Linked DNA regions of Drosophila melanogaster. The protein of the gene in region 4 interacts with the protein of the main gene of each other region in a pairwise test. Each region holds a gene or a part of one and is shown on either strand. Other genes may lie near its edges.

What was found.
Region 1: the proteins of CG13144 (region 4) and CAP interact in a two-hybrid assay, tested with the Drosophila melanogaster proteins (one large-scale study listed by BioGRID).
Region 2: the proteins of CG13144 (region 4) and CG10948 interact in a two-hybrid assay, tested with the Drosophila melanogaster proteins (one large-scale study listed by BioGRID).
Region 3: the proteins of CG13144 (region 4) and lms interact in a two-hybrid assay, tested with the Drosophila melanogaster proteins (one large-scale study listed by BioGRID).

What each region holds. Positions count from the first base shown.
Region 1 is NT_033778.4:10,277,205-10,281,757, reverse strand, and holds the start of CAP (CAP), read right to left. Parts: upstream 3,023-4,553; 5' UTR 2,418-3,022; coding exon 1-2,417.
Region 2 is NT_037436.4:12,844,071-12,852,101, forward strand, and holds CG10948 (uncharacterized protein), read right to left. Parts: upstream 6,048-8,031; 5' UTR 5,966-6,047; coding exon 5,962-5,965; intron 5,722-5,961; exon of another isoform or gene 5,670-5,721; coding exon 5,088-5,669; intron 5,026-5,087; coding exon 4,300-5,025; intron 3,087-4,299; coding exon 2,980-3,086; intron 1,784-2,979; coding exon 1,664-1,783; intron 1,599-1,663; coding exon 987-1,598; intron 855-986; coding exon 591-854; 3' UTR 184-590; downstream 1-183. Other genes in the region: Wbp2 (WW domain binding protein 2), read left to right, coding at 6,206-6,261, 6,428-6,727, 6,845-7,083, 7,239-7,652.
Region 3 is NT_033778.4:20,555,309-20,560,467, reverse strand, and holds lms (lateral muscles scarcer), read right to left. Parts: upstream 3,592-5,159; 5' UTR 3,511-3,591; coding exon 3,273-3,510; intron 2,382-3,272; coding exon 2,233-2,381; intron 2,077-2,232; coding exon 1,327-2,076; 3' UTR 515-1,326; downstream 1-514. Other genes in the region: Mgat1 (mannosyl (alpha-1,3-)-glycoprotein beta-1,2-N-acetylglucosaminyltransferase), read left to right, coding at 33-115, 174-261, 315-428.
Region 4 is NT_033779.5:10,489,370-10,493,365, forward strand, and holds CG13144 (uncharacterized protein), read right to left. Parts: upstream 2,086-3,996; 5' UTR 1,996-2,085; coding exon 1,120-1,995; 3' UTR 531-1,119; downstream 1-530. Other genes in the region: CG6144 (uncharacterized protein), read left to right, coding at 1-339; Myo31DF (myosin 31DF), read right to left, coding at 2,962-3,130, 3,188-3,345, 3,420-3,996.

The DNA.
Region 1 (4,553 bases), on a different chromosome or scaffold from region 4:
GGCGGCGACGGCGATCGCGGTAGTTCACCTTGCTCCTGTTCGCGCCGCGTCATCTCGATCAACTCGCGCACTTTGTCCATATTGCGAACGAACTCCTCGCGCGTGGCCGCTAGCGGCGATGCTGCCCCGAAACTAACAGTCGATCCACCAGATACATTTGTATCTTTTGCTAATTGTTCTCGATCGGCGGGAGTGGGCGTCGGCGTCGGCGTCGGCGTTGCGGCGCTCAGCAGCGAAGACTGCGAACTGGCGAGCGTCGGGTTGGCGTTAACAGGTGTGCTCTCGCGACTCTGCTCGCCCTCTCTCTCCGTCTCCGTTTCCGTTTCCGCTTCCGTCTCGCTCCTGTCTGCAGTAGTGGTACTAGTGCTGCTCATCTCATCATCCGGCCGAGCAATCAACCGACTGGCATCCGTATCCAAGTCTACGAGGGCTCTCTCCGCCAAGGCGGCAGCCTGCTCTAGTTCTAGTTCCATGAGGTCAGAGACGCTGCTGGAGGCCGAGGAGCTTAGGTAAACTAGCTCCGCATCTTCAGACTGTGGAGACAGGGCGCTCTGCAGTCGGGTGCAGCTCTCCAGATCGGTTGACTCCTCCAGCAGCTTGGTTTCGAGCTTAAGAGGCGACGGTGCCTCCTCCCTACGCTTGTGTCTGCGACTAAAGTCCAACTGACTCCTGGGAAAGGTCTCGTTTAGCTTGGGAGTGCGGATCCCCGTCTGATCGCTTCCGCCAGAGGAGGCGGTGGAGTTTCTCCATTCATTCTCCTCCAGGATGCTGTCCAGATAGCGGGGATTGAGCAACTGCGGCATGAAGTGCGATTCCAAAGCGTTCCGATACTGGGCACGTTTCTGGCGCACCTGCTCATGCTGCTCTACTCGGCTGCTGGACGGCACCTGCTGATCCGACGGCGATCGCTCCGGTCCCAAGACTACCGATCCCTCTGATTCCGAGTCTACTTCGCATACCAGCGGCGACTGCAGGGAATTGAATTCCCCGGAGCTGAAGTCGCTGTTCAGTTCCATTTCCTGGATTTGCACATTGCGCGAGAAGTTCGAAAACTGGCCACTTGACACGTTCTTCGGCGACTCCACCAAATAACGAGGTGGTGGAGATAGGGTTCCGGCCAGAGAACCGGTAGTGCTGCTAACCTCCTCGAAAGTGGGCTTGGCATTTTGCTCTTCGTCGGTGGTTTCCACGTGTATCTGGTGGATAATCACCTTGGAGGTGGGCTTCTGTGGAGGAGGCTGCTGGGAATAAGGATCTTCTGTTTGAAACTGAACTTTTATTGTTACTTCCTTTGGGGATTTCGGTGCAGTGTCATCATTTTGCTGTTGGGCGTTATTCAAAATGGGTTCCTCTTTCACATCATGATGCAGTTGCTGTGCGAGGCCCTCTTCTCTCTTCTTCGGATCTACAAGGATTTGTGGAACTGCAATATTTTGCTGATGCGCTTTAGTTGATTCCTGTAGGTGCTGTGCTTCATTTTGCTCCTGCTGCTGTGCATTTTGCTCAGTGTCTCTCTGTTTTTGATAACTTTGCACGGCAGCAACGTGTTGCTGATGTGCATTTTCCACAAATTCCATTGCCTTTTCGAGTTGCAACACATATTGCTCCGGTTCCTTTGAATCGTGTTGCTCTTGCTGTGGATTATTGTCAGTGGTCTCATCCTTTGAGTAGTCCACTTCATCATAAACTTGTTGATTCTCTTCAACTTCGACATGTTTCTGCTGTGCGTCCTCCGAAAGATGACTAGATTCAGGAAGTTCCTTTGGACTCGGTTCATTTTCCCGTTCTTCCTTAGTTTCAATCTCCTGCTGAGCTTCAGGTTTCTCCTTCTTTGAATCCTCGACCTCCATGTGCTGCTCCTTAGATTCCACGGCTTTGGGTGGCTCTGGAGATTGAGCTTTGCCATTGGCCGTGTCCTCTTCCCTCACAATTCGATGAACTATGACCTTGGCTTGCCGGGGGCTACCGGGTGGCCTTCTTATAATGGTGGGAGGTGGACGCACCTGCTCTTCAGATTTTCCATTAGACGCCTGCTTATCGGACTTTTCCTTGCGATGTTTTGAGTTTTTGGCACCCATTTCTGCGTCTGAATCTGCTTCTTTTTGGATGACTGTTGCTGGTTGCTCGAATATTTCTTCTTTTTTTTCGGTTTTCTCAAGAGTGTTCGTCACCTCTTCGCTGTTTTCCGTTGGCCCATTTGAAACGCTGCCAGAATTTCCATTATCATCTACGAAGGAAGAAGATTGCGCTACTGCGATCTGAGTTTGGAAATCCTGCTGCTCCTCCCGATCCTCCGCCCCTTCTGCCTGCTGCTGATGGTTTTCGTTTTGGTTTTGGCTCGGATTCTGATTTTGATTTTGGTTTCGATTGCGTTTGTTGCGATTGCGATTGCGATTACGATTGCGGTTATTGGGCATCGTCTACGGCACTTTCGCTCGATCTGAACTAATGCAGTTTTCCTTGTGTGTGAGATATATATGTGTTTTTGTGTGTAAGTGAGTACTTCGTGTTTCGTGTTTCTTAATCAGCCAGAATCTACAGTACAACTAAGTGTTGTTTCGTTTTTCGGTGTCGTTTATTTCTAGTTCCCTCTGTGTGTGTCACTCGTCGCCAGAAACTCAAACAGAACTGAACTGAGAACCAGAACCGAGAGCCGGCGGCATTCTGCTCGCGACGACAGCCGGCAAAATCGAAAAAAAAAAGAAAATAAAAAAATAAAACAGCGACGTCGCTGCCGCTGCCGGCGTCTACGCCGCCCCGCCCACCGCCCACCGCCTGGCACGCGTCCGAAATCGTTATGTTTTTAGGTTTATTTTTCGCCGCCGAGATCGCGCCTTTGTCTCCGATTGCCTCGATATTTTTTCGCCAAATTAAATTGCGTTTTGAATACTAAACTTTCGCTCTCGTTTTGGGGGTATGTTCGATTTGAGCAACGGGGACACGGGGTGAAAAGTTTTTTAAATATTTTTTAAGATCGCGCTTCCCGTTCCTCGTGGCGCTGGCGACCGACGGACAAGGAATGGGCCGTGGGCTTTCCACGATCTCAGCCGGGAGCTAGCTCCCCAGTCTCCCACTCACACACATTTTTACAGACAGCCCGATTCGGATGCACAGTGGCAAGTATTTGAAAATATACACACAAAAAGGAAAATCGGGGAATTCATAACGATGCTCATGTTCACAATACATACATGTACGTAGAAAACAGAAAGTCGTACGGGAGAGCGGGAGAGAAATGTGCAAAACCAAAACAGAATCAGAATCAGAATGCAGGGTATTCCAAAGACATCAAAATACCAAAGAGACCGAAAAAAAAAACAACAATATGACTTCTAGGTCAATGCAATTTTCACAAGCCAAACAAACTCATAAAATCCGAGATGAGCAGAAAAGAAACGCACGGCTCGAAAATATATTCGGCACATTCATAAATATTAGAAAATGTTTTTGGAACACGTACATAATTTGTTTGTGGAATTTAAGCTAACGAATATATGCTTTCGAAAATAAATTTTTTTAAATGTCACAAACACATTTTTGTCTTGAATTTCGGTTGATAAATGCTCAGGAATGAAAGATGTAAGACATTAAGAGAAAATAAAGAATTTAGAGGTCAAATGAAATCAGATAAACCGTTTTCCAACCACTTAAATTGTTTAATTTTTTAAGTGGTTGATCTAAAAAACTTTCGTGCAATATACCCAAAATGGCTCAATGCAGGGCATTAAGAAGAGAACTCAATACGGAAATAGTTTGCCACAGTTCGAGTTTGCTTATATGTATCTTCTGGCCGATGTGTGTGCTTGTGTATCTGATGAGTCTGCGCTGGCTGTGTATCTATATACAACTTATGGCATTTTAAAGATATTTTTCGTGCGTAATTTCTTTGCTTTTTGTGGTCACAAGTCTCTGTTTTCGGTGTACTCTTGAATAATTGAAGCAACATATATCCACGCGCATATATGTATGTATAGCTCTCCCATGTATCATCCCAGTGGGCCATGCGGTTAGTAGTATTCCGCTTTTATTTTTAAAGGTACTTAATGGCTTTCAATTTCTCTTGTTCTGTCTGGCCCACAGCCCCATCATCTCCATTAACTTCCTCCGACCAGAACCAATCCGAACTGAAGTATCTTCGCGGGTCTGTCAGGTGCCAGACGAACCAGACACGTGATGTGGTGGTTTTGGCCCGGGCATTATGCAATTTCTGCACAGTGTGACAGACACGGGTATACCAATTAGGGAATACTAAACGATCGCTTTCCCCTCCTCAGAAACCCACTCACTTAATGTGTATTCTCAATTGGTTTCGGTTTCCGTTTGGATTTCGTTTGGGCCCCACCAAGTTGCCTGAATCACTGACGTACGACGAACATCCAAGTAGCCGCTATCTATATCTGTGGATCCATTGTAGCGGCTTCTATTTTCAGTTTTCTTGCCCCGTAATATCAACAAATTTGAAATTGATTTCTACGCCTCGCCCAATTTGCTGTAGAACAGCACACATTTTAGTTATCTTTTCTGGGCTATCGCTGATAAATTTTGCATTTTTG
Region 2 (8,031 bases), on a different chromosome or scaffold from region 4:
TGATAACCAAACTCATAAATTAAGTTTAATTTTATTTTAATAAAATCAATTTTAAAAATAAGTATGGAAATCTCAAAATATTTAAGATGCTGTATTCGATTTCAAGATTAAGCTCTCTTGAAAGATGTGTGTTTGTGTCATTAACCAAATATTTTATCTGATTCAAATTAAAGAAAACTCTTTGTAGTTTAGCATACAATTTATTTGGTTCCATTCTTTCGCTTCCGTTCAACAAAAGCAACGCGACCTTCTGCCTCTCAGTTTATTTAAAATATTGATGTATATATATTTTGTATATATTGAATTCATTTAGCTTAAGTGTATATATATTCTTTAGGTTGAGTTATTTAAATAATTGAAACGGTAGTTAGTTTGTGGTGTCTTTCTTCCGATTGAGTTAACTTCGAGTACTTGCCCTTAAACCTGGATCTGGTCTCATTAAGTCGTGATTTCATTGAAAAACTTGCGTCTTTCCTTTGGTTAACATTTCACTTTCCTCCGCTTACTCGCTACTCATTATGATATAGTTGTAAGATAATTAAAGCATTTAATTGTCATCTTATTCGAGTCTACATTCCGCATTCATCCCCTCACTTTGACTCCGTCTGAGATTCAGTTGGTTCGCTGAAGCCACAGAATCTCCACTTCTCCTTTTCCGGCTTGAAGAGATTTGTGTACTTTCCGAGTATATTGGCTAGATCATCATGGTTACTGGGGGCAGCGTTATTGCGCAGCATTTCGCTTAAGTAACTGGCTATGTTGGCGATTTCAACGCCATAGGGATGCAGCACCAGATAGGCTGAGGCCAGAGCAATTATCTTGGCTTCAGACAAGACTAGCGACTTGAAAGTCACCTAAAACAAGGAATAGTGATTAGAAATATGCAAGGGAATGTATGAAATAATTAGATGCATGTAAAACTAAGATAAATTAAGTAATTAAATCTATATATATATATAGTTACACAAATAATTCTCATTACTAACCTCTTCCGCGGCCACTGTTGGGATTTGCTCTTTGCTGCTTTTGTTTATAGTCTCCTCATGATTCGACTTTGAAACATTTTCCATAATTGACTCATTTGCTTTGCTTTTCGTAGAATCCTTAGCGGGCTCCTGCTTTTCATCGTCCTCGATCTCGTGTATCTCCACCACACCGCTTTGGTGCTCTATGATGCGGACATCATCATCCACTTTATCGATATCAATTATTTCCGGTTCTGCCTGTGGGCGGATAATTTCTGTGCCTTCCCGGCTACACGAATCCCCGCTGCTGTAGTCGAGATTTGAGGCGTTTGAAGCATTTGAGGCTCCAGCGCTATTTGCCTCTTTGTCCCTTAATTTGTCCACTGTTTCCTTAATTTTGGTCTTCAACAGAAGTTGCTTAATGCCGGCATCCTTGAGATTTCGTTCCAACTGCTCAATGGTCTTGTTGTCCTTCTGTTCGCGTAGCTTCGTCTGCAGCAACTGGGTCTGCATGTTGCGAATGGTTTCCTGAAGTACCTTTATCTGCTTTTCGCGCTGAACATAATCACTGCGCTCCAGCGTCATCTCGTGACGAATGGCCTCCAGTTGACAGCGTAGAGAGTCGTTCTCGTCCTGATCCAATTTAAAATCTTTATTTTATTTCAAGTTACTTATACTAAACTATTTGATAAACATACTTTTAAGCCATCACTGTCGTAGCGAATTCGCTTGGCGCTGTGTCCGCGTCTATCGTAGTCCCGCTCATCGTCGGAGATTTCCATTTCATCATCATCTGTGATCTGGACAGTTCGAAGTTCCTGCGTGGCATGCGAAAGGAACTTCAATTAATTATCCGTTGCTACTAGTTGGATAGGTTTCGTTTGGTTTGAGTACCATTGCTTACACTATTATAACCTAGCTATAAAATTTGTGTATTTAAATAATGCATCAAATTTGTTTCCTTGCTTACGACTCTGTTCTGGTCCGCTTACTTACCTCGCCACATTTTCAAAAAGTTTTAGAATTTGTTTCGATTAATTTCTTTTTGCTATTAAAAATTAATTTGTATTTGTTGCACAAATTATGTTTCACAGCAGCAATGTTTTTAGTTCTTCCTTTTGCTATTTACCACAACCAATCGATTTCACTGAGTGCCCATCAAAACCTTCCTCGTTTTCTATAAAATTCAATTTCCCATAGAAACTTGAAGGTTTGTGGACACTCGGCTAAGGTTTACTTTTAGTTCGATGTATTTAAAGCGTATCGGAAATGTTATGCAAATGCTTAGTTAAAAATAGAGATAGTACAACAACAAATGATACTTGAAAGCCAAGAAAAGATAGACCAAAGCATTACAGATCAAGAGCGAAAGCAATAAAAGTAAAAGACCTCATATTTAGAAAGATACTAATGAGTGTTTATGATCAGGAAACTGTTTAAAAAACGCACTTTTACTTTGTAAAATGAATTCTTAGAAATATAGTAATATAGTTAACTAGTTTTTTAACAGTTTCCCTTAAAATAATCTTATTCATATATCTAATTCTACATAATTTAAACGATAGTACATTTTAAGCTTGCAAATTACATTAATATTAATATTGTTTCTTTTTTAGTGACATCACAACTGATTTGGAAATTTCGATAATCAAAAACACAAACAGCTAAAAAGAGTCTTAATGCACGGGACAAATAAAAGAAATTAACAATTAATAAAAAGCAATTAGCAGCTATAAGCGTCACCAATGGAATAGTACCATATGATTATATAGGACGGGTGAATGGGCGACATGCTGAATGATAACAGAAATTGCGTTAGTAAAATGGTTAGAAATCTACTGCAACACCACAACGATGATAACAACATCAACATAAACGGATACAACATTATGAAACCAAGAGATACAACAGTGAATCGAAGTTATTGGACAATAAATGTATTTTTTGTTTTTACACAATTTGCAACATCTTTGAAATTGTTCGTATTTGATTATTTGAACATTTTAGTACGTACCGTGGCTAATTTCTTCCATTGATCGATGTTTTTTCTTTGGGCTTTGGTGAAATGGTCCCAAACCTTCTTGTGACTAGCGGCATTGAACACTTTTTCAATCTGAGTGACTGAACAATAATGCAATAATATATAATAATATTAAGGGAGGACAGAGGGTATTTTTTTTTTTTTTTGATTGTTTGTTTATCTGGATTGGTTTTCAGTTTTGCTCTTCACCTTTGTCAAACTAGACTTGTTCTCTTTGCGAATAAAATGAGTGAGAAATGAAAAATTGAAATTAAACTACAGGAGAAACCCTCGCATAGCAATTATTTAATTAGAGTAGTTACGATTATTTAAGGTTGATATATTAGGTACAATCTAGAGAGAATACAACAGCGTGATTACCTATCTTTACGTTTGTCCGAGTCTGAGATTATCTGAGATGCTCTACAAGGACCTCTCAATCCATTACTGTACCAATTGTTTCAATTTGCTCTCTGCCTTGCGGCTTACAAACCTTTTGGGCCAAATAAGACTTAAGACTTTTGTGGTGGTGTCGAGACACAGTGAAAGTGAGTGAGGATCAGCCGCACAGTGGAGCGAATCAGTGAAAAGGGCGACCAACTTTTTAAATAAACATGATTGAATAAGAAATGATATTCCATTTTAATCAGGAAATCAAACTGTTAAATGAATGCGAAATGTAGTTTTATAGTTTTACATTAATATTAATTATCAAAATAATTGATAATTTAAGCGGGTTTTTGATTTAATACTTATTAGCGGTAGTTAATTGGCAGTAATAATTTAGTAAAACGTATTAAAACGACTGAACTTCCTAGTAAATGCATTAATCTTTCAAATGCCAATGCTTGTGCTAAGGCTCCATATACCATCACAAAACATTTTCAGATGTTAGAACAAAGGCAATCTCGATTGTCGCCTCATCCACTGACTTTTGCTGTGCGGCGGCCTTGGGCTTCGTCTTTTTCGGCTAGTCTTTACCTGATCCTGCTTGGATTCATTGGGCTTGCTCCAGCGACCATTGGCGAGCAAATTTTAGACGGTAGTTTCATATGTGGAGTTTGGCATTTAATAATTCGATGACTAGATTTGCTAAATATTGTGTAGGATGGGTATGGTGTGTTTTCAGTGTAGGTGTAGGTGTTTGGATGTGTAGTACGCTGGTAGATTGTTCAGATATACAGACGCTAAAAGGCTAACCCGGGCGCAACGTAAACAGAAAAATAGGATTTCAAAGTGGGATCGGCGCCTAGTTTCCCGTCTAGACTAGAGCTAAGAAAGCTGATCTTCCGGCTGAAAGGCCGAAATACTTACATTGCGTGGACATGGTGCCCATTTGGTTGCGATAGCTGTCTCTGGCCTTCTTTAGATCCTCCTCCAGTTGCAGTTTGTCTGCATGGAGTCTTCGTACATGGGCATGAGTGCTCTGGATCATCGAATAGAAGACATTGGCGTTCCGCTTAGTGCAATCTCCCCGCTCCAGCCACGCGGTAATCGTTTGAATGGCCTTTACAAAAGTCTCGTTGGTGCGTAGGTGCTCCGCAACAGTAGTAGCCTCGTGATCCGTGTAGTGCGGTATTGGTGGCGGCGACTGCGATCGCATCCTGTCCATCGACATGCGCTCACGATGACGCTGTTCCCTCTGATGCTGTCTCTGTCGACACTCGTAATCATACTGATCATCCCGTGCCTGTGCGTAGTCCACATGCAGGCGTCCAAAGTTGGGAGGTTCATTTAGCGCTGATATACGCAATCTATAGCCGGATAGGTAGATGGCCCTATCTATGGCACCCTCTTGGCGGTAGCGAATATGGCAAAAGTTCTTCTTGGACATGCGCAATGTGGTGATCTCGCCGCATGATTCGAAGATCTCCCGGATCACTTCTTCGGTTATGTTTTCCGGCAGTCCACCCACAAACACCGTCCGGCATCCTGGTGGTCGCTCCCTTATTGTGGGAGGAGGTGCGTTCGGATTAGGTGGAAACAGGATGCAGTTCTTGGTCTTGATCACCTCCTTGAGGCCAGCTGGTGTAACGCCATCTAAAAGTATGTTTTTATTAGAATGTTTATTTAAGGTTCCAATTTGGTATTGCTTTCATTACCCGCATTAAGAGTTGCTTCTAGTCCAGCTCCGGTTTCTGTGGTCATTCCGGCTGCTGCTGCCGCTGCATAGTGCATCTGTTGCATTTGTTGCATCGCCGCCGCCATCATGGCCGTAGGATCCATGAGCATTTGCGCATTGGCGGTGCTGTTTGCTGAAGCTGCCGGCGTGGATCCCCCTGCAGCCGAGGATGGATTGCCGGGTGCAGTAGCACCACCCGCTTGGGTGGCCGGAAAATACAGATATCCAGGTGGTGTGTGCACCAAGCCATTCAGGTATAGTTGCGTCGAATCGGGCAGAGTGAGCGAGTTGGATGTGGCCTGCAACTTGGGTTCCTTGTGCATCGTCGAGGAGCTCACATCCGCAGAGTGTTCGTTCTCATTCTCCAGATCCATGGGCGCACTGCCCTGTGGTTGTTGTTGTTGTTTTGCCATCTTATTCTGGATCTGTTTGGGGGGCGAAGAGGGATTTCCCACGACAGATGTGCTCGAGGCCGCCGTGGAAATTGCAGCTGCCAATTGGTTGAGGAAATTCGGGTGATTTGGCAAACTGACGCCATTCGGCATGGTCCCAAAGAGCGGTACTGCAAAATGTACACAGTTTGTAATTTGCTTTAAAAGAGATAACAACCCAAACGAAGCCGGTAGCAAAACAAAATAACCAATCAGCTGAGCACCTCAATTTTCGATAGGTAAAAAAAGGAAATAAAAGCTGGGGGGTGGCAAGTGCCCAAAATGGCGTAAGTCCCACCTGCTGATAAAAGTCGAATTCACCGCAAATACTGTTGTTTCTTAATTTCCCAGACCTTTCTATTTATTCCATTTTCTTTGCTACACATTTTGTGGGCTTTTTAAAATCATTATCTTATCACTTACGCATATTAACGCCCCAGTAATTGTACGACAGGTATGTATAAAAAAAAACTAATTATATTTAGAGATGAGTGACTGCTCGTACTGGTCACCCTAAAAAGAGTATCGATATCCGATAATTTCGGCGCTGCCACACTTTTCACTATGAATCATCAGCTGTCGTCAGTTTTCTAGAAAAACAAAACGTAGTTGTATGAAATTTTTGCAAATTTTTGTGGACTCAAAACAGTTGGAAAATTAAAGAGACATGTCGGTTAATACGGCTCACGCCAACAATGGCGTGCTCATCCATGCTGGAGAGTAGTAAGTTAACGGAAAAGTCCTTTAATTAACACTGAAAATGCTGAACATCCCTGACGTCATAAATGTAAACACTGACGTGTGGCTGGCGATTTGAAAGGAAATTAGCCTATGTTCCAGCGATAAGATAGAAATATGGCACACAAATTAACTGCTTTTACACTTTCAGCATACTGCTCCACAGCGACAGTGTCTCCATGGAGTTCTCCGGTCAGGACAATCCCATCTTCAAGGGCTCCAAAGGTGGCAGGATTTATCTCACCTCCCACCGAATGATCTTCAATAGCAAGAAGTCCTCGGATTCGATGCAGTCGTTCAGTGCCCCGTTTGTTGCTCTTTCGGATGTGGAAATCGAACAGCCCGTTTTCGGGGCCAACTACATCAAGGGAAAGGTTCGCGCTCAGCCAAATGGAAACTACGTGGGCGAGGTCAAGTTCAAGCTCCATTTCAAGGCAGGCGGCGCAATTGAGTAAGTGCATTGTGCACCTAAATTAAAACTAATTAGACGGATCTCTTGATAAGTCTTAATACTGAATAGACTCAAGAGAATATATAATGTTCTGATTAACAAGTCCATTTCTTATAGATATGGTCAAGCTCTACTGCGCTCCGCCAAGACGGCGATGAACAACTACCACCGCGGTGGTCTGGCTGGTGATGATCCGCCACCATATCAGCCGGCTGGATCCTGGAATGAGGCACCACCGCCGGCATATCAGCCACCACCTGGCTACTATGGCTGGCTGCCGCAGCATGACGCATTCAGCGGCCCTGCGCCGAATACGGTCTATATGAGCGACAATCCGCCGCCGTATCCGGGTATCGGTAAGTTAAACGCACGTGCACTTTACCCAATCTATACTCGGCTTTTGTTTTGGCACGCTGGCTACGCGAATTGGCAACCTGGCTTACCCACGAAATTCACGCTACGCACTCGCTTCGTTTAACCCAATGGGGCACTCCTCTCTTTTTCGTCTTAGCACCACCTGCTCACCAACCAGCACCGCAACAGCCGCAGGCACCGTCGTCGAATGAACCCAATTGGTATGGTTTTTCAGCGCCGCCGCCGCAGCAGCAACAACAGCAGCCGGGCTATGGGCCACAAGGATGGGCCGGTGGCTATGTCCAACCTCCGCCGTACGCTTCATGTGCCCCAAATTGTCCACCACAGCCGCCGTACGCCGCTCCGGCTCAGACGTACAATGGTCCACAGCCATATGGTGGATACGGCAATGTTCCTGGCGGATTTAATACCCCCGGATTTCAGCAACCGAATGGAAATCCAAATGGCTATCCAGGTGGACCACCGCCACCCGGACAACAAGCAGCAGGAGCAGCTGGAGGAGCCGCCGCATCTGGAGCCAGCTTTATGGGCTTCAGCTTGCCCCCTGGAAGTGAGTAGAACTCATCATCCCATTCATCACTTTTTTAACATTTCCCTCCCACAATGCACATTTCTAAATTGGTTTTATTCTAGCAAAAGATAAAAAAATATGAGCAAAAGGACAAGAAAATTATGAACATCTTTAAAATAGTCGAAACATCTAAAGATCTAAAATGTTATCAAGAATTTAATTGAAGTATCATGAACCACCTTTTGCTTTCGGACGCTCAAAGTATTCAAGAGGCATCCAAAAACCATTCAGAAGCATTCGTTCTGTTTATTTTTCTCACTTACAAAATTATTCAATTTGTCCAAATAATAAATGATTTGTTAGCATAATTCATTTGACGGTGTAATATTCCTTTTTTGGTAGTGTTTATATTTGTTTT
Region 3 (5,159 bases), on a different chromosome or scaffold from region 4:
CCTCATTACACTAACAACTATTTCATGTTCAGGACAATTACGATAACACGTTTCTGCGGCGCGTTTATACGTATCCCATTGTTACGTACGATGAGCTGCGGCGAAACCTGATTAGGTGAGTTGATATATGATATATAGAAAGTATCTACATAATTCCAATTATGGTGTTGCAGAATCGAAGGTCCAGTTCGCATTCAATACACTACTAGGGAGCAGTACAAGCGGACAACTAAGATGCTGGGTCTTATGGATGATTTCAAGGTAGATCAATCAATCTATGTGCTTGAAACTATGATTATTCTTAATCTTTGTAGAGCGGTGTTCCGCGGACTGCCTACCATGGCATCGTCTCCTTCTACTACAACAAACGGCGCGTGCATCTGGCACCCAACGCCAACTGGAAGGGCTACGAGCTCTCTTGGAGCTAACGACGCTAAGGACAGAGTACCGCCAGCTCCACTTCCATTACCACGCAGCTAGCTCCGCGTGCTTGCAATACCAAAAATAGCCCTATGAGTTTTAATTTTTATTTGACCAATTAGCTAAGTTGTAACTATGGAATCTCCTCGAACAGTAGACGCTGTTCGCAGCCATCGCGTAGGCAGGAGTACTTGGAGTACTAGCCCTGATTTCTGATAGAAAACGCAATTCGTCTGCTCCAGATCCCTAGCCTACGGACCTACTGTTGGCGTAACAAAATCAAATCAAATGAGTCTCCACTATGTATAGTAGTCAACCGAACCGAACTGTGTGTGGCAAGAGCCAAAAGTGTTCCATTCTAGCACACCAGCCACACAAGCAACGCAATGAATTGTAAATAAGTCAGTGTCGTTCGCTTTTGTTACAGCTCTCTCTATCTGTCTATCTCTCTCAATTTATCGTGTTAAATTGCAAATAGTTATAGCAATGGTTAAGTTATAGTATGCAGCGTGTAATTTGTAGCATTTAAGTTGATCCAACTAGAGTTCTAACGGCAACGGACGTGTAATATTTGTGATTTTTGATTATTTAATTTACATTTATTAATTGTTGAGAGCCAGTCAGTAAACAGTACCCGACCCACACAATGTAACATAGAATAGCAATAACTAGCGCTAGTACTAGTACTAGAACCACAACGTAAACTAGACCAGTGCTGAGCCACCAGGGGTACGCCAGTAATCCCGGCCAGATCTGAAAGTGTGCCACTCTCAGCTAGTTGTAATGGAATCAACCCAGACAGGACACCTACTCTACTACCCCCTATGACTACACTTTGTATGAGCATATTTTTGTGTGTATGAGAGACGTACGGAACATAAATTCTAAAGACAACCAATCGCCTTTTCACTCCGCAGCAGGTGGCTCCTCATCCTCGTCCAGATGCTCGCAGTCAATGTCGCTGCACTCGGACTCCGATTGTGTGGGTCTGCGGCTCCGCTGCGCCTGATTTAATCCATCGTGGCCGTAGGCTGTGGCTGTTCCAGCGACTGGCGTGCTGCGTTGTTGCAGAAAGTTGGCATTGGCATCCCCAAAGACGCGTTCCAGTTCGGCGAGGCCATTGGAGGCGCCGCTTTCCGCTTCCGGCGGCAGCGTCGCGTACTTCATTTGCAGATAGCTCTCGTTCGTTGGCAGTGACGCCGCGTAGTCCACATAGCTGGTCGCATACGGCTTGCAGCGAGGGATGTAGCTGGCCGCAGGCACACCACCCGCCGGCGGCTTAGCCACGCCAAAGGGCAGGGCGAAGTTCAAGGGTTGTCCACGTGCCAGTATGGCATTACGGGCACTCTCCATCACACTGGGACCCGGCAACGGTGGCATTCCGCCGCTAGTCGCGTACGGACGCATGGGTGAGCCGGTGGCCGTCGTTGCTGAGGCCATGGGTGCAGCGGAGCCACTGCCATTTAGCATAATGGACTGAATGGGCGTGGGACCCGTTGGCGTTTGGCTAAAGAGCCAAAGGCGATCACCAACCACCATCGGCCTGGCCAATCCCCCGATACCCAGCTGGGCGTAATAGTGCGAGGCCAGCGTTTCCACGTCCGAGGTGTACTTGCGCTTCCACTTGGTGCGGCGGTTTTGGAACCAGATCTTGATCTGAAAAGTGAAATGAATGAATGAATTATTTACGAGGAATGCCAATTGTATCTCATAGATACAAGGGATTTCATTTCATGTTATTAATCGCTTTTAGATAGAATGGCAAACTTTTTTGGGTAGTAATTAAATTTTTTGATAGATTCCACAACTAACCTGCGTTTCTGTGAGCTGCAGCTGCTTGGCCAGTGCAGTTCGCTTCGCCACCGAAAGATACTTTCCCCTTTCGAACTCCGTTTCCAGTGCTTTGATTTGAGCTGCCGAGAAGGCGGTACGCGGTCGCTTTTTGCGGTCATCACCAAGGCCTGCAATGGAATCAAAGTGGGAAATCGAAATCCCAATTAGACATTTATTGCTACCGACAGCGGGCAATCCGGCGCGCGGTGCCAACTATTTTCGCCTAATGGTAATTTGTCGATCCGTTGTTGGCACAGTTGTATGTGTATGTAAAATGCCCCGTCGCACCGCAAAACCCCTGGCAAATTGCAAATCACACTGTTGCATTTCACTTAGCCAAGGCGTCTAATTGGCCATTTTGGCATACATTCTCTTGGCCGACCGAAAACAAATAGCCATATAAATTCCTTCTTAACGGGTGGAAGAATATCTCCTTTGAGATCGCCAGCGATCTTTGTTCGCTTGTGACATTTGCATCATTAGTCGACTGCGTTGGTGTCGACGAAAATGTGGATATGGAATGGATGGCTTATTCCCTGTCACCCAGAAGCTAATTTCTGATCATTTGTTTCTTGATCGCACGGATGACAGATGAGATCATTCAGCCATAGGCACTCACTCATTCGTTCAGGTGGGAAACTCATTGCATATTTACATACAATAATGAACGGCTGTGCTGAGCTCGTTATGGGTGATTCCATTAGGAGGTAAATCATCTTTTAGAGACATTTTTTTTCAGAATTTAAAATTTGTATATTGTAACTGTATTATTTGAAAGATCCTTGATAATTCCTTGAACCTTGATAATACTACACTTAAAAGCACTAAAGCACTGACTATTTGGCTGTTGGTGCTATTTATCCTGATGAAGTTCAGTATAAATCTATATTTTGTATATTTGCTATTTAATAAGGATCCAATTGAGCTTTAAGTTAAGTTTTTAGATCCCAAATCCAATTCCAGACACCAAAATTCTCGTCGTTGTAAAGCTTATATTCCGGCATATCGATCATACGCACCGTTTCCATCATCTGAGGCCAAATCGATATCACTTTTGCCGTCGTCCATGTTGTCATCCAAGCAACTCGATGTTGCCGGACTGGAAGCCCGTGAAGCACCGAGACAATTGCCACCGCGACCGCTTTCATCCTGCACGGAGTCCTCAAAGGAAGTGGAGCTGCGCATTTCCGGCTTGGCCAGAATTTGTTCGATGGAAAAACTGTGTGGATAGCGACGCACTGCCGATTGCGAATTCATGTTTCCGCCGATTGCGAGCGATATATATTTTGAAGATATTCCGGAGACAACAGCGCGCGTGGAGATCTTACGGAAAACTAATTTGAATATGCGGAGCATCCTGCTCACTGGCCGATTTTTCAAGATGATCGCCTGGCGGGGCGGAGCCTAAAATCATATATCTCCGCACCGCTCACACCATATGCGCAAATAGAACGACAGAAAGGAACAGAAACATACTATTCGATTTTCACTGAAGACAGCACACAAGTTCGGTTATTTTTAAAACATGTGTGAAATGTTTGGGATGAGGGGCGTGGCTCGCGTTCAACGCCGTCTTCTGGGTTTTCGAAATTGTTTTTGTCGCCTTGCCCGTGATTAAAAGTCATAATTTTTGGCTAATTGTCTACAAGTAGCGCTATTTAATATTTCGATGGCTTTGCTAAATATATTTAATACGTTTGCCAACATATTTCATCCATTTGATTAATGAACGGCGAGCAATTTCTTTGACTGGATTTGTTTTCAGTGCTTTGGTGTGCAGGCACGTGTCCTCTTTTGGGTTAATTCAGAATTCTTTAAACAATGCAGCATTCAAAAAATTGTATTCAAATGTACAAATGGTTTCTTTGTCGATTTTTTGGAATTTTTTAAATCTCTTAACAAAGTAATACAAGGCCATTAGTCTAAGTGATTGTAACGCAATGCATAATTGGGTTCTACTAGCTTGAGAAACATTTTTAATGTGTATAATATATTCAATTTAAATCTGAGAAACAGTAATTTTGAAGCACAACATTTTTTGAATCATAACTTAATTGTTGAGTTTTTAGAACACCTTCCTTACAGATATTTCATATTATAACTTTCTATTTCTTTGAATCCCAATCCCAAGCCCCCTGTAAAAATTTCATTAATTCGAAATTATGAACACATAATTCAGACAGAATGGAAAATGGAAAAGGGGCACTCAGGATCCGAATGGAGGGGAGGATCTGAGAAATTAGCCGGCGGCCTGGCTGACACTAGTTTCCAATTGGCCAGCAGCCAAATCCACAACATCTACTGGGCTACAGGGTGCCCATTCCTGGATGCGCGGATGCCCCATGATAACGTCTTCATTATTCAGGCGCGATTTGAACAAAATATCTGAAAACACGTTAATTAGTCGCCGAGATGGCGGAGCAAAAAGGGGAAAGGGGACGAATCGCAGGGCATCCATTTAGCCGGCCGGGCTGTCAGTTTGATTTAATTTAATGAGAATTCTGGCGGGGATTCGGATTCGGTTGCGGATGCGGGGGGGATCTAGATCTGCTTATGAGGCCGCATGCCCGAGTGTCGCGGGCACTCAAATCAAAATGACAACTTAATTTTCATAATTGCGCTTAATGAATATTCGACTATTGCTTGCCATATTTCAAATTCCACTGCCAAACAGAATGCAGACTTTGTTTCGACTTCGTCATTTTTGAGTATTTACCAATTTGTTGGCTACTTTATAACCTATCTATCCATGGGTATCTATGGAATCACATTCAAGCCGAACATCTGAACATAAGTATTCTATTCTATCTTGTTTTGGCTAAGTCAATATATTAAGTTTCCTAACTGGATCAGAGAAATCTGAGGAAGGAAATGAACTTGCAGATATGTTTAAGTATTATTATAAG
Region 4 (3,996 bases):
TCCACCATTTCCACGGGTGCTCATACCGTGCTGGAGTTTGTCAAGCGTGAGGACACCACAACTGAAACAGAAGCTGGAGATCAGACGACCCGTGAAGTGCTCTTCAAGCTGCTGCTGGAACCGCGCAGCCTGCTCATCCTCAAGGACACGCTGTACACCGACTATCTGCACGCCATCTCCGAGACTAGCGAGGATGTGCTCTGCGATCGCATCTCCAACTACGATCTGTGCGAGAATACCTACAAGATCGGGGATCACTTAGTACGCCGATCGCCGCGCATCTCCCTCACCATCCGTAATGTGCCCAAGACCAGCAAGATGAAGCTCAAGTTCTGCTAGGTTCATTCCGCCATTCGATGTTCTTTGGCATTAAAGATTACAGATTACACAGATGTTGACTAGCTGCACGTTAAACGAACCCACTGAAGAGATCCCTGGGATCCAAAAAGAACTATGATAATCTGCAACCTGAATCTTCCGCTAGATGTTAAAGCACTCCGCACTAGCAGCACACTTGTTCGCAAGCAAATCCATGTTGGCCCACACAAAAGTGCTTTATTTATACCGCTAGCATTGTGTACATATATATAAATGTTTGTATTACGTATTACGGAGCAATAAGTTGTCCTGATCGGCGGACAGGCTCGAGCTGTATCCTCAGATTCCACCTGACCGCCGGCGGCCTTTAGATTTAGTTGTGCGAGCAGTTGTTGCAGGAATCCATGGCCTAGATTTGTGAAATATGTGGTTAACTTTGTATATGGGCATGTGCGACAACTGATTTTGATTATGATTGTCCTAATGCTTTGTACAATAGAATCTACACAGAATTTATGTAAAATCTTTCTGATTGAAAATGTTCCTTACGTTAACTACTAAGCAAATCAATTGCAGCCAAAGAAATCATAATGATGATCAGTTGACGAGATACCCCTTATATGTATGTTGAATGGAGCAGCCAGCACACTGGTTACCATAGTCGTGTGCTCCATGCTCCGGCCTCCTGTGTCCAAGTGTATTTTTGTAACCGTTTTTTCCACCGCGCACCGCAAAAAAGAGCGAAGAATTGCCAATAAACGTTATTGTCCACCTAACTCATCCTTTAAACCATTTAATCCACTAGGCCTCCTCATCCAGCCACTCCAGCCGGAACTCGCGCTCAAAGACCAGGCGATCGTACAGCCGCACCTCGCTAATCCTCGCCGAGATGTCCAGCCGCAGTTCGCTGACCGCCAGGTGGAAATTCTGACGCACCGTTCGCTGTTTGTCCGGTGTCAATTGATTGAGAGGTTTGCGAAAGATGCTGATGATGCGCTGCAGATGGTATTCCACGCTGGCACAGCGACCGATGCAAACCCACAAGTTCTCCGGATCGTGAATGTTACCCGGGAAGCGGGTGCGTTGATCGAAGGGCGCCTTGCCGGACAGCAGAGCTCTCACCTCGGCCACGATCTCCTGGTGCGTCCTCAGATCGCGTGTGCTGAGGGTGGTGAACTCATACTTGTCGCAAAAGTACATGAGCTCGGAGATGGCCACCCACGACTGGGAGCAGAGTGTGGCATGGTGATTCGACCAGTTGGTGTAGCCAGCTGGACTGGAGGTCTTGGTAGCCACGGCAGCGGTTGACGAGGAACTTGCATTGGGAGTCGGTGAAGTGCTCGTTGGACTGCCTGTCTTGGGCTTGGGCGTATCCGAACCATTTATGATGGACCTTCTTTCTGTGCGCTGCAGCTGCTCCATTTCCCGCTCGTGCTCCTTGGCCCTTAAATAGGCCTCCTTCTTCTGCTGCAACTCCTGAAGCTTGGTCATCTTTGGTGGCGACAACGACTTTGTGAAGATCGAGGGCGGTGGCGGCGCAGGAGCAGCCTGGTCGCCGTCTGTGTGTGCAATTGGTGTGCCGTTTGTGTCCAGCGATGCACTGCGTCCGTACTTGGCCCTATAGCGCTCCAGCGTGTCCAGCGAGAAGCTGAGCTCCTTCTTGATGGCCTTCTGCATGGTTCTGGTTTTCTGGCTTTATGTAATCACCTTGGGTGCTTCGATGCTCCGAATTGCACGCGTTCCCTTCGAGAATTTACAGGCGAATGCGAGCGCACATTCCGCATAAAGAGAGGCCGATCTCTTTATTTTTATCTTTTATCAATCGGCGGCGAGCCATGTGCACTTTATTTCGGTCTCTGCCAATACATTTTGATCGCATTCGCATACGAATGCGTACGGATTTTACGTTTGGATTTAAAGCAGCATTTGAAAAAGATTCACAGATGCAGAAACTCACAGATATTCAAATGCCGAACGCACATTTTGGGGGAATTCATGACGAAATGACCGAAATTTTGAATGGGTTCAATTCAGATCAAGGTTGGGATAGGGAACTTATGCACATTATGCTTATGTTTGGTAAGTTAACTTCTCTTTAACTTATTGATATAAAAAAATAGTCATTAACCAGCTTTCTCAAGTACAAAGTTTACATCTTTTATTTCATATATTATTTCAATAATATTTGCAAATGGCACACATATGTTTGTGATCTTTCGCTTTAAGTACAAACATTTTACTGATCGTTACAAATGGTTTCTTGTGTGCTGTGAATCATATTTGAAGAAATGCACAAAGTACATTTAATACTTTTCGTTCTTTTCGTCGGCCAGCTCAACCGGCGGAGGTGGTATTCCTCTCACATGGATGTTAAATAAATATCGCCTTAACGCATACGCATAATAGAAAAATGTACAAAATTACAATCATGTCGTCACACACAGAACAGATAAACAGATAGGACTAACTATAGAATGACGTATTAAAAACTACAAAGCGGGTGTTTGGCGGAAGGCACGGTATACACAGAGTCGTCATGTCCTTGGTGGGACACATGGGTCACAAGTAGAAAAGAGGGTGATGAGCCCAGTCTTAAAACTAGGTTCCATAATTTACAATACAGTTGGGCGGAGTTGATTCCGCCTAAACGCAGTACGCCGCCGGCACCTCGAAAATGATGTTGCCCTCTTTAGGACGGAAGTTGGGGACCTCCACATTGGACGCCGCCTCCACGGTAATAATGCGTGCCTTGCCGTCTAGGCGACAGGAAATATTGGTGGTCACATTCACACGCAACTCGGTTCCAGTGAGGCTGGAAAGGATTTGATATTAATATCTGGTGAACATACTAAATGGGCGTTCCACTTACTCATGGTATTTCTTGCACACAATGCCCACCACTTCGCCAATGCGATCTTCCTTGAGGGGCGTGTACTCGCTCTCCAGGGAAAACACTAAATCCTTGTTTTTCGACGAGTGGAAGACGATTAGTTGATCCCGGCCGGGTGAGACACTAATGGACGTCAACTGTAAGCGAAGTCAAGATACGGAATTAATATTATAATATAATAATATAATATATTATTATACTATCTACTAACCTCCCTAATTTTAATGGTGCGTTTCATGTCCTTAAATTTATTCTTGATACCGTCCAGTTTGTGGATGGTCGAATCGGAAACGATGAAGGCGCGATTAGCCTGCTTGTTGAAATGGTTGAACTTCTTGACGAATGAGGAGAAGAGCACTTGCTGGAAGGTCTCGCCGTCGGCGGGGTGGTTCCTTATGTTCTTTATGCTTCCGTTGTAGGCTTCATATCCGCTGTTCTCCTGCGAGTTGGCCAGATAATCACCCACCCAGCGGCGCGCTTGACCCCAATAGGGTCGTCTTCCGGCCAGCGCAGTGGCGGCGATAATCTGCAGACGTAATTGCGGCCACTCGCTGCGAGGATATTTGTGCAGGATCATGTTGGCTCGCCAGAAATCGAACATACGATGCAGTTTAGCCTCCACCTTACGTCCGGCGAGCGGCGGCTGTGGCCACTGGATGCTCTTGCCGTAGTCGCGCATCTGCTTGGCTTTCCGTAAGCGATTGGCCAGCTCCTGGACGTAGCTACGCAGTTTGTAGGCCTTATAGGCGCGCACGATCGTAATTGCCGCCTTCATCTTCTTAAAGTTT